2 linked regions of the Callithrix jacchus genome follow. Each later gene encodes a partner of the first gene's protein in a complex. Links are inferred from orthologs where the notes say so. Each region holds a gene or a part of one and is shown on either strand. Other genes may lie near its edges. The genes, in order: CACNB1 and CACNG1.

What was found.
Region 2: CACNB1 (region 1) and CACNG1 share a complex: the UniProt entries of both Homo sapiens proteins name them as parts of the calcium channel complex. The link is inferred for Callithrix jacchus from reciprocal best matches to the Homo sapiens genes CACNB1 and CACNG1.

The regions. Positions count from the first base shown.
Region 1 is NC_133506.1:119,682,752-119,687,151, forward strand, and holds the start of CACNB1 (voltage-dependent L-type calcium channel subunit beta-1), read right to left. Parts: upstream 3,016-4,400; 5' UTR 2,842-3,015; coding exon 2,758-2,841; intron 1,323-2,757; exon of another isoform or gene 1,314-1,322; coding exon of another isoform or gene 1,260-1,313; intron 321-1,259; coding exon 234-320; intron 1-233. UniProt on the Homo sapiens protein: Regulatory subunit of L-type calcium channels. Regulates the activity of L-type calcium channels that contain CACNA1A as pore-forming subunit.
Region 2 is NC_133506.1:122,262,868-122,267,377, reverse strand, and holds the start of CACNG1 (voltage-dependent calcium channel gamma-1 subunit), read left to right. Parts: upstream 1-1,457; 5' UTR 1,458-1,562; coding exon 1,563-1,791; intron 1,792-4,510. UniProt on the Homo sapiens protein: Regulatory subunit of the voltage-gated calcium channel that gives rise to L-type calcium currents in skeletal muscle. Regulates channel inactivation kinetics.

The sequences.
Region 1 (4,400 bases):
GGGAAGGTGCCTGGTGCTGGGGGAGGGGCCGGGCAGGGGCAGGGGATGAGTGAGTGGGTGCAGCTGACAGCACATCCAGGAGAAGTCATGGGGTGTCAGGGTGATGGGGTGGCTCCAGGTGGGTGACAAATGGCACAGGGAAGGGTGGCTGGAGAATACCGCAGACCTGGCTCACCAACGCTGGTCTCCACCAACCAGCCATCTCCCTCTACTCCGCCCAGCCGCCCCATTACCTGGCGGACGAAGCTGTTAGATGTGGTATCCGAGGACGTGCTCCCATCTGACCGTTTGAATCGCCCTTTCCTCTTGCTGTATTTGCCCTGAAGAGGCCAGGAAAGGAACCAAGGGTAGAATCAGAAGGGCCCTTTCCCAACCCTCATCTAGCCAGCCCCATAGCTACAGCCAAGCTTGGAAACAGCATTCCCAGATCCAAACAGCCCCACCCCCAAACCCCTGCACCTTCTTCCCGAGGTGGTACAGCCCAAGGGGGGTCTCCCATCCTCACAGAGAGGGCCCAGACCACAGCTAGGAGTGGGGACCAGTGCAACAGGGCCCTAGGAGGCCCACACGGAAACCCCAAACCAAGCCAGAGATGCTGGGAAGGGGGGAGGCGCGGAGAAGCTGGAGGCTCATTAGGCAGCAGAGCTAATTAAGATGCTGGGCAGGCTGCACAGGCCTCCGAGGAAGGGAGAGGAAGGGAGAGGCAGCGGGCAGTGCTGGGGGCGGGGGTGGAGAGAGCGGGAAAGTCCCCCCTCTCCCTCCACAGGAGCAGAGTGGGGCTGTTTATGTTGGTGGCCCCCAGAGAGGAAGAACTGCCAACCCAGGGCCCAGCCTGGCTTCTCCCCATGCCCAACTCTTCCCTTCGCTATTCAGAGTAGGGAGGGGATGACAGCTCCCTTGGAGACTCAGAGCCAGATTTCTGGGAGGGAGTAGGGGCATGGAACTGTATTTGGAGAGTAAACATCCAGCCCTATCCCTGGCACCATGGGGGCAGACTTTGCTCCCCACTCTCGTCCCTTGCCCAGGCAGGACTTTTTCTCAGCTCCCTCTCCTCACAATCACAGTAGCCACATCCCTCCCCAAGGGGGCAAGAGGGATCAAGCTGCTACCCTGTGGCCCCCAACTGCCACTGCCCATGCCCCATGCCCACGGTACCCATCAGGCAACGTCGATCTAAATGTCCCTCGGCCCCACCCCACATGAGCCTAGGATACAGCCCCACAGATCCCTAGTGGGAAGGCTGGCTCAGCCTCACTGACCAGGCTCCTGGCTCCGGTGGAAGAAACACTGCCGGAGCTTTCAGGAAGCAGCATGTTCAGGTTAAGGGCTTCAGGGATTTCCAGGCCTCCTGTAAGAGGATCTGCTTCCGGCCCTCCCCAGCTCACAGGCATACACACAGTTGGTCTCAGCCCAGTCCAGAATGGGGAGAGTGAGTAAAGGCTCAGGCTTCCAAGCCCCGGCCCTCAGTCTCCCTCCTAGACTTTCTTTGGCCAAAGAACCTAGAGGAGCCACAACCAGACTGGGGGTTGTGGCTGCTGGGATCAGGGTACAAGAAAGAGGATGGAAAATGGGAGAGAAGGGCACCTGGGGACCCTTCCAAGATCCTCCCCTCCCCACCTTTCTCTCAAACCACACATACACCCAAACTCTAGTCTTGACGCTCCCTACAAACCTAAGAGGATCTCCCAGTGAGTCCTATACACCACCCTCCCCCACCACCATGCTGGGCAAAGGAGTGGCACTCAGAGGGACAGGGGACAGCTGAAGGGAAGGCCCCAGTCAGCTGCCTCCCAAGTTCAAAGGGGCCCAGGGTGGAGGAAGGTATTTTTAGGTCTAACTTGACCCCTCTACCTCCCCATCAGCCACATTATGATGGTGGTTACAGCTGTGGCCACAGTAATAGAAGAGTTAATGCTACCCTTGGAGAACAGTCCCAAAGAAATCCCCTGGCATGATCATCCCAGAGCCTGCTGGTCTCCCCATGGGAACCCAGAGCGCCCAAGAATGCCACTTCCTGGGGTAACCCGGGGCGTAGGAAAAGTGTGCCTGCCGGGATGGAGAAGCAGACCCCTCCCTCAGGTAAAACAGCTTTTTCCCCTCCCGGACAGTGCGTTGGCATCCATCCAACTTTCCAAACTTTGGAGGCGTTCTCGGGGCGGGGGTGGGGGTAAGGAAAGTCAGCGTGGGTGTAGGGGAAGGGAGCAGGTCCGACGTAGAGATGGAGTCCAGGTGGCTGGACAGGGGCCTCGCCTGGAGCTGTCCCTTTCCCCACCCTCGAGAACCAGTGTTTTCGGCTTGGAAGGCCTGTTGGCATTTGGCACCGCCCTCTGACCATCTCCCCGTGCCACCTCCGCCCCACCCACACCCGCCTGGCGCCCCCGAGCGTGCTCTGAATCGCCCCCCTAGGCTTTCTAGCCTCCTCAACCTCCCCTTCTCAAGGCCCAGATTCTCCCCACCAGCACCCCCACGCTCAGCCCACTAAAGCCGGTGCCCAAGCGGCAGGAACCCTGACGCGGGGGAGACAAGGAGGCGAGGGTGACAGGCAGCCAACCCGCCCCCTCCCCGCTCTGCAGCATCGCCTCCCAGCCCCAGGCCCAGCGCCCATCAATCACAGCCTGCAAGGATGGGGACCCACAGGCATCCCTCTCCCCTCCGCTCCGGGCATAGAACCCCTTCCTCTCCCGCGCCTCTCGAGCCGACCCCCACACGGTCCACGCGAGCGGCCCCCTCCGCTTGGGCCGGGCCACGATGCCTCACCTGCGGGCTCGGGTCGAAGACCTCCATAGGGATCTCCTGGGAGGGTGGGTAAGGGCCCCGGGACATGCTGGTCTTCTGGACCATGGAGAGGAGCTTCCCCTCCCGCCGCCGGCCCGGCGCAGCCGGGCGCCCTCAGCGCATGGGAGAGGCCGTGGGAGCCGAGAACGGCGCGGCGCAGCCAGCACCTGATCCAGCCACCCAGCCCGGCCTTCGGCTCCCTCCTTCCTGCCTTGCCTCGCTCCTCCCGCTCTCCCCACTGCCGCCGCCGCCGCCGCCGCCTCTCCAGTAGGCTCAGCATCTCCCCGCACCCCTCCCTTGCTCCCTCCCTCCCTCCTTCCCTCCGCCCGCCCCGGCCCCGCCCCTCGCAGCCCCTCCGCCGGCACCGCGCACCCAAAGGGCTGGCGGCCGCCGGGAGGCAAGCCCCTCCTGGCTCTAGAGAGCCGCAGGTGAGCCTCCAACTGGCCGCGGCGTTCAGATGGCCCGTTGGGGCGGGAAGGGAGAAATCAGGCGTGAAACTTGGGGGTCGGGGGCGGTCTACCAGTGGATGCCTAACGCTGATGGGGATGTAGTGCATATTGACACGGCTGGTACCGCCCCCCTTTTGTCCCAAACCTCTCTTCCTGCGGGTCTCTCCAACCCACTCCTGCTTGGGCTACCGGAACTTCCCGGTCCCTGTGATCCTGGGACCTAGCTTTAACTCCTTTCTTCCCAGTGTGGGGCCCAGGCTGCCTCAAACCAAACAGAAAAGCCTCTCCCCCTCCAACATGGTTCTAGGGCTGCTGGTGGGAGGCTGAGGCTAAGATGAGGAGGGTGTCCAACAGAGACAGCAAAAGAAATCCCAGGGGTCCAGGAGTTCTGCCTTAATCAGTTACTAGGATACACTCCCCTACCCCCTGCCCCTGCTCTTCCAAAAGGCCAGGAATGGGACTGGGTGAGGTCCCTGATCTTAGAAAAGAGGAAGAAATATGGAGCTGAGAGAGCAGAGGCTGGTAAAATCAGATCTCATGACCTTTGACCTAGAGTTGCTCCACCTTTACCCCTGATTTAGGGACAAACATCCAAGGTCTGGACTCCACCCACCATGACTGGTAAAGAGAAGATGAATAGGAGATTCTGGGCAATAGACCTTGGTGCCAATTTGGCTCAGGCTGTTTCTGGTTGTATGGCCCTGGACAAACCACCTCTGTGAGCATCAGTTTCCTCTTCTCCTATAAAATGGGGTTCCTGGTACTGTGGAGTCTGTGTCACCTGGGATTACTGGGAGGATGAGGGAGAATTAAATGGATTGCTGGGTTGTTTGGAAAAGCTGTAAGGTGCAATGAAAGGGTCAGTCATGACAGGAGGACTCAATTCCTTCCTACTCCACCCCTTCTCCTGCTCCACAGAAAGGAGAGATGGAGAAGACCCTCTCCAGGTCAAGTGACCTTAAAGTAAGGCCAGCTGGCTGTGTTCTGCAGGAGAGGAGACTATGGGACTCCTCCTCCTCACCCGATTCTGATAACAAGTGAATGGTCAGCCTGTCATTTCTCTGATCACATCACCTTGGGGAAGGAGGAGCAGTGAGTGAAGATGAAGCCCCTTAGAAACCTTCCAGGAAGAGCTCCAATCCTGAGCAGAGTTTCCACCTGCCCCTTGGAGACAAG
Region 2 (4,510 bases), about 2.6 Mb from region 1:
TGTGTGATCTTGGAAAAGTGGCATCATGTCTCTGAGCTTCTGTGTCCTTATCTGTGAAATGCAGTAAGAGTCGTAGCTCCCTTGTGGATTGGTGTGGAGAATAACTGTGATGCTGGAGGAAGGCTTAGCAGAGCGCCTAGTCGACAGGAAGCCCTCGCTGAAGACGAGCCGTTGCTACTATTATCATCATCGTGAACTTTCTGTGATTCCAAGGCTGGAGGCTGGAACGTTTCTGTCCACATGGGGAGAGTCTCTGTAAACCGTGTCAATCTGAGGCCAGGATTTTGAAGCTCAAGGCCCCACCCAGCTTAGGAAGCTATTCCTGGTCATGCATCAGCCTCTCGGCTAGACCCAAAAAGGGCTACCCGGTAAGCTGAGAAAGAAGAGATGGCACAACCTGGCACAACCTGGAGGGATGTAGGGGCCAGAGCCTTGGGGATCCCTGCAGGGCAGCCAGGCACACAGGACCCTGGGAGGGCGCTCAGTTCCAGGCTTTCTGTGTTCTCTGCCATATCTAAGCACTCACGAGCCTCCTAATTATCCCCCGTAAATCAACCTATTTGTTCTTTTTTACTCACACCCTTATTTTGCAAATTAAATAAGTGTGTTCAAATTAAATAAAAATCATTATCACCTGCTGTTAATAGAGGCAAAACCAAACACAGTACCCTGAAAACAGAACGACCAAGTCCAACGAGATTCCTTGTCCTCTTCAGGCCATTCTCTCTTGGTTTCGGAGGACACTCTGTGGGCAGTACAGACACTGACCCCAAATGCAGCTTTGCTCTGGACCCAGTTCCGGGTATGGAAAGAGAATTGAGAAGGAAGTGATGTTCTCATGAAGGGGTCAGAGTCGGGAAAGGCCAGGCCTGGGAAACACCAATAATCTTCCCACGGTTTGGGGGAGGCCATGGATTTTGTGGCTAAAACACTCCCCAAGAGGTGGACTCCAGAGGCCCTGGACGGGTTCCCTGGGATGTCCCTAAACAGTCCTAGTCTCCCCAGATCCCAGGATGAGGACCTACTCACTGCCCTGCTGGTGACAGACTTGCCCTGTGGGAGCCCGGGAGAGCCAGGCAGCCTGCAGCTCTGGTCTCCTCCCCTGCCCTGGGATGCCCTTTCCCAGCAGCCCAGAGCAGGCAGGTCCCCACCCCCAGCCCCTGCTGCCCACCCCCTCCCAACTCAGACACCTTGAGCTGCTACTCCACAGAGGCCTCAATCCACCACCCAGAGCCTTCTCTCCTTGCCCCCCTACCAGGGTACTTCTGGCTCCCAAAGGAAGAAACCCCTGAAACCTGAGCAGAAGCTGTCCTCGGTGCCACGCCTGGAGACGGTCATTAATAGCAGCCTCCCTCAGGCCCCTGATTCGTCTGGACAGCTGCTCAGCATGTCCAGCGTCCCTCAGCCCCAAGCCCAGCCCACTCTGGCTCAGCCAGGCCACACTAAACTTAGTGGCCACTCCCAGCTTGACAGCCACTGCCACCCCCCAGCTCGGCTGTCACCTGCCCTAGGAGACACAGCCGCCGGACCCTGCCCAGGGCACCCACGCCTCGGCGACCACCATGTCCCAGACCAAAACGCTGAAGGTCCGTGTGACCCTCTTCTGCATCCTGGCGGGCATCGTGCTGGCCACAACAGCCGTGGTAACCGACCACTGGGCTGTGCTGAGCCCCCACCTGGAGCACCACAACACCACCTGCGAGGCGGCCCACTTCGGCCTCTGGCGGATCTGTACCAAGCGCATCCCCATGGACGACAGCAAGATGTGCGGGCCCATCACCCTGCCCGGGGGTAATGTACCCAGCATCCCTCCCAATCCCCACTTCCTGCCCTTTCCCATCTTTCCCCAACAAAGTTACCCACACGAAGCAAGGCAGGTTTCTCTGCCTAGAACAGGGCAGCCGCCCAGCCCTTTCTGCCCAGGGAAGAAGATCCGACTCGCATGTGCTGTGCTGGTGGCCGGAGCTGGGTTGTAAGACGAGGGCGTTTGTCCCAGCTATTTCTGTCTGGCTGGACCTTGGGGCTTTTTGTCCAGAGCAGACATCTGAGCAGGCTCAAGAAAGGGACTGTGGCTCTACCAGCCCGGGGGCTTCTGGGCCCCACCTGATCACTCCCTCCCTGCCAAGACAGGCTGAGTGGCTCTGTGTGCTCAGACTCGTGGAACCTATCAGGCTGGCAGGTTCGTTCCTGGACTTAAGGCAGGAGAGTAGACTGGACAGGTGAATTTGCAGGGTCCTGTGCTGAATGAAAGTGCAGGGTTCCCTGCTCCAAATTACCGAGGATTTCAAGGCAGTGACAGCGAGGCATGAAACCAAGCATGGACCCTTGAGGGCCCTGGGCCTAGGGCAGCTGCACAGGTTGAATGTCTATGAAGCAGGACATGGCTGTGGGTGAGCCGCCTGCCCCCTACCTTTTCTTGAGACAGAGTTGCACTCTGTTCCCTGTGCTGGAGTACGATGGTGCAATCTCGGCTCACTGCAACTTCTGCCTCCTGGGATCAAGCTAGTCTCCTGCCTCAGCTTCCCCAGTAGCTGGGATTGCAGGCATGCGCCACCATACCCATCTAACTTTTGTATTTTTAGTAGAGACGGGGTTTTGCCATGTTGGCCAGGCTGGTCTTGAACTCCTGACTGCAAGCAATCCGCCCACCTCGGCCTCCCACAGTGCTGGGATTAGGCATGAGCCGCCGTGCCCAGCCTCCACCCCCACTTTTGTCAGGACTTCAGTCCTCTGTGCCTCCTCTCTTAGCTCAGACCCTATCAGCATTTTAAAAGACCATGTCAAAGCATTTTCCTCATCCTGTCATTTAAGCATATTCCTCAATTTCCTACCATGTGACCAAACCACATGTCGAAGGTAAGCTCTTTTTCAGGAGTACCTGGTATTTGTGTGGCTAACCTCTATTCTGCAAATGCAGAGGCCTCTGGATTCTTAGCAAATACAGCACTTCTTTAGAGGAAAGAGGGCTACATGGAGACCAGGCGGCCAGGAATCATCACCATTGCCTACCACGCTCCAAATGACTCTCCAGGGAGGACAAAGCTCAACTCAGCCTCAGCTTCTTCCTCTATAAAATATGGGACTGACTCTCAACAACATAAGATCCCTTCCCAGGCTGAGGGACACCCATCCATGGTGGCAGTGGAGCAGGGTGATGTCAGTGTGATGTCCCACCTGGCTTTCAGGATTATTCCGTCTTTTATCAGACTGGATGTTCCTTGAAACCTGTCCTTCAAGGACACTAAGGCTGAGTCCCCAAAGATCTTGCAGTCTGTTTGTGGGTCAGAGAGCCCAGACCCCATCCTCCCATGTCTCTGCTCCCTCTTCCTTCCCTCCTGCTTGCTCCAGAGATCCCCTCCCTTGCTTACCCCAACTGGGTGCCCAGAAGACTCGTAAGTACCCAGCTGTTGTAGAAACACCAAGTCCCAGTGCTTGAGGGTGACAGGTGTGAGCATGTGCTGGCAGGGTATTGCATAGCTGGGATGCCCATGTCCCTTGACCACTGCGAAGCACACCCATAAACAGGCACAGCCTCCAGCCTACTCCCCTGGGTGGGGCAGGGCAGGGCAGGGCGAGGTAGCTTCTACAGGGACCACACATGGGGACGTGCTGTTACAGTCCTGTTCACCCATCTCTGGAACCATCTGACTTTTAAAGTCAGAGAAGAGGGCTGGGCAGTGAACAGAGTCCACACAAGGAAGAGACAGGCTGGTGAGAGGTGACTGGACCAATCACAGGGGGTGACAGGCTGGGGAGACGTTAGTGGACCAATCACAGGGGGCAACAGGCTGGCAAGAGGCGATTGGACCAATCACAAGGGACCAACAGGCTAGTTAGAGGTGAGTGGACCAATCATAGGGGGCCAACAGGCTGGTGAGAGATGACTGGACCAATCACAGGGGGGCAGCATGCTGGTGAGAGGTGACTGGACCAATCGCAGTCACTGGAACCAATGCTAGTCACTGGAACCAATGCTAGTCACTGGAGCCAACAGGCATTGCTTGAGCTTGAGCCTGACCAGGATCTACCTCTTTGACTTCTTAGCCTAACCAGCCATGAACCATACCTCCCACGCTTGTGACACGGAGCACTACCTTTCCCCCAGTAATCTTCCAAAGTATGTTCCTGCCTTTTTCCCTCTCTTTTCTGTGCAAATGGACATCTTTCTCTTTCCCTATCTGCCCTTCTTGTGTTCCCTGGGACCACTCTTCTCTAGAGGGAGGAAGTGAGTTCATATGTGGCTTCTCAATTAACAACAGTAATAATGGCACGTACATGTAACCCTATGTGCCAGATATTGTTGTAAATGCTTTACATGTATTAACCTCTAATGACATTGGGAAAAAAAATTATGGAGAAAGAACCTCCAAAAATCTTCTTCTACATAAAAGCAATGAGAGTGCTGGCAGAAATTGTCAGAATTAGCCTTTTGAGAACTGTGAAAATTAATCAAAGTCTTGCAGCAATCCAGCAAGAAAAATGGGTGAATCTCAGGACCAGTGAGTTCTGT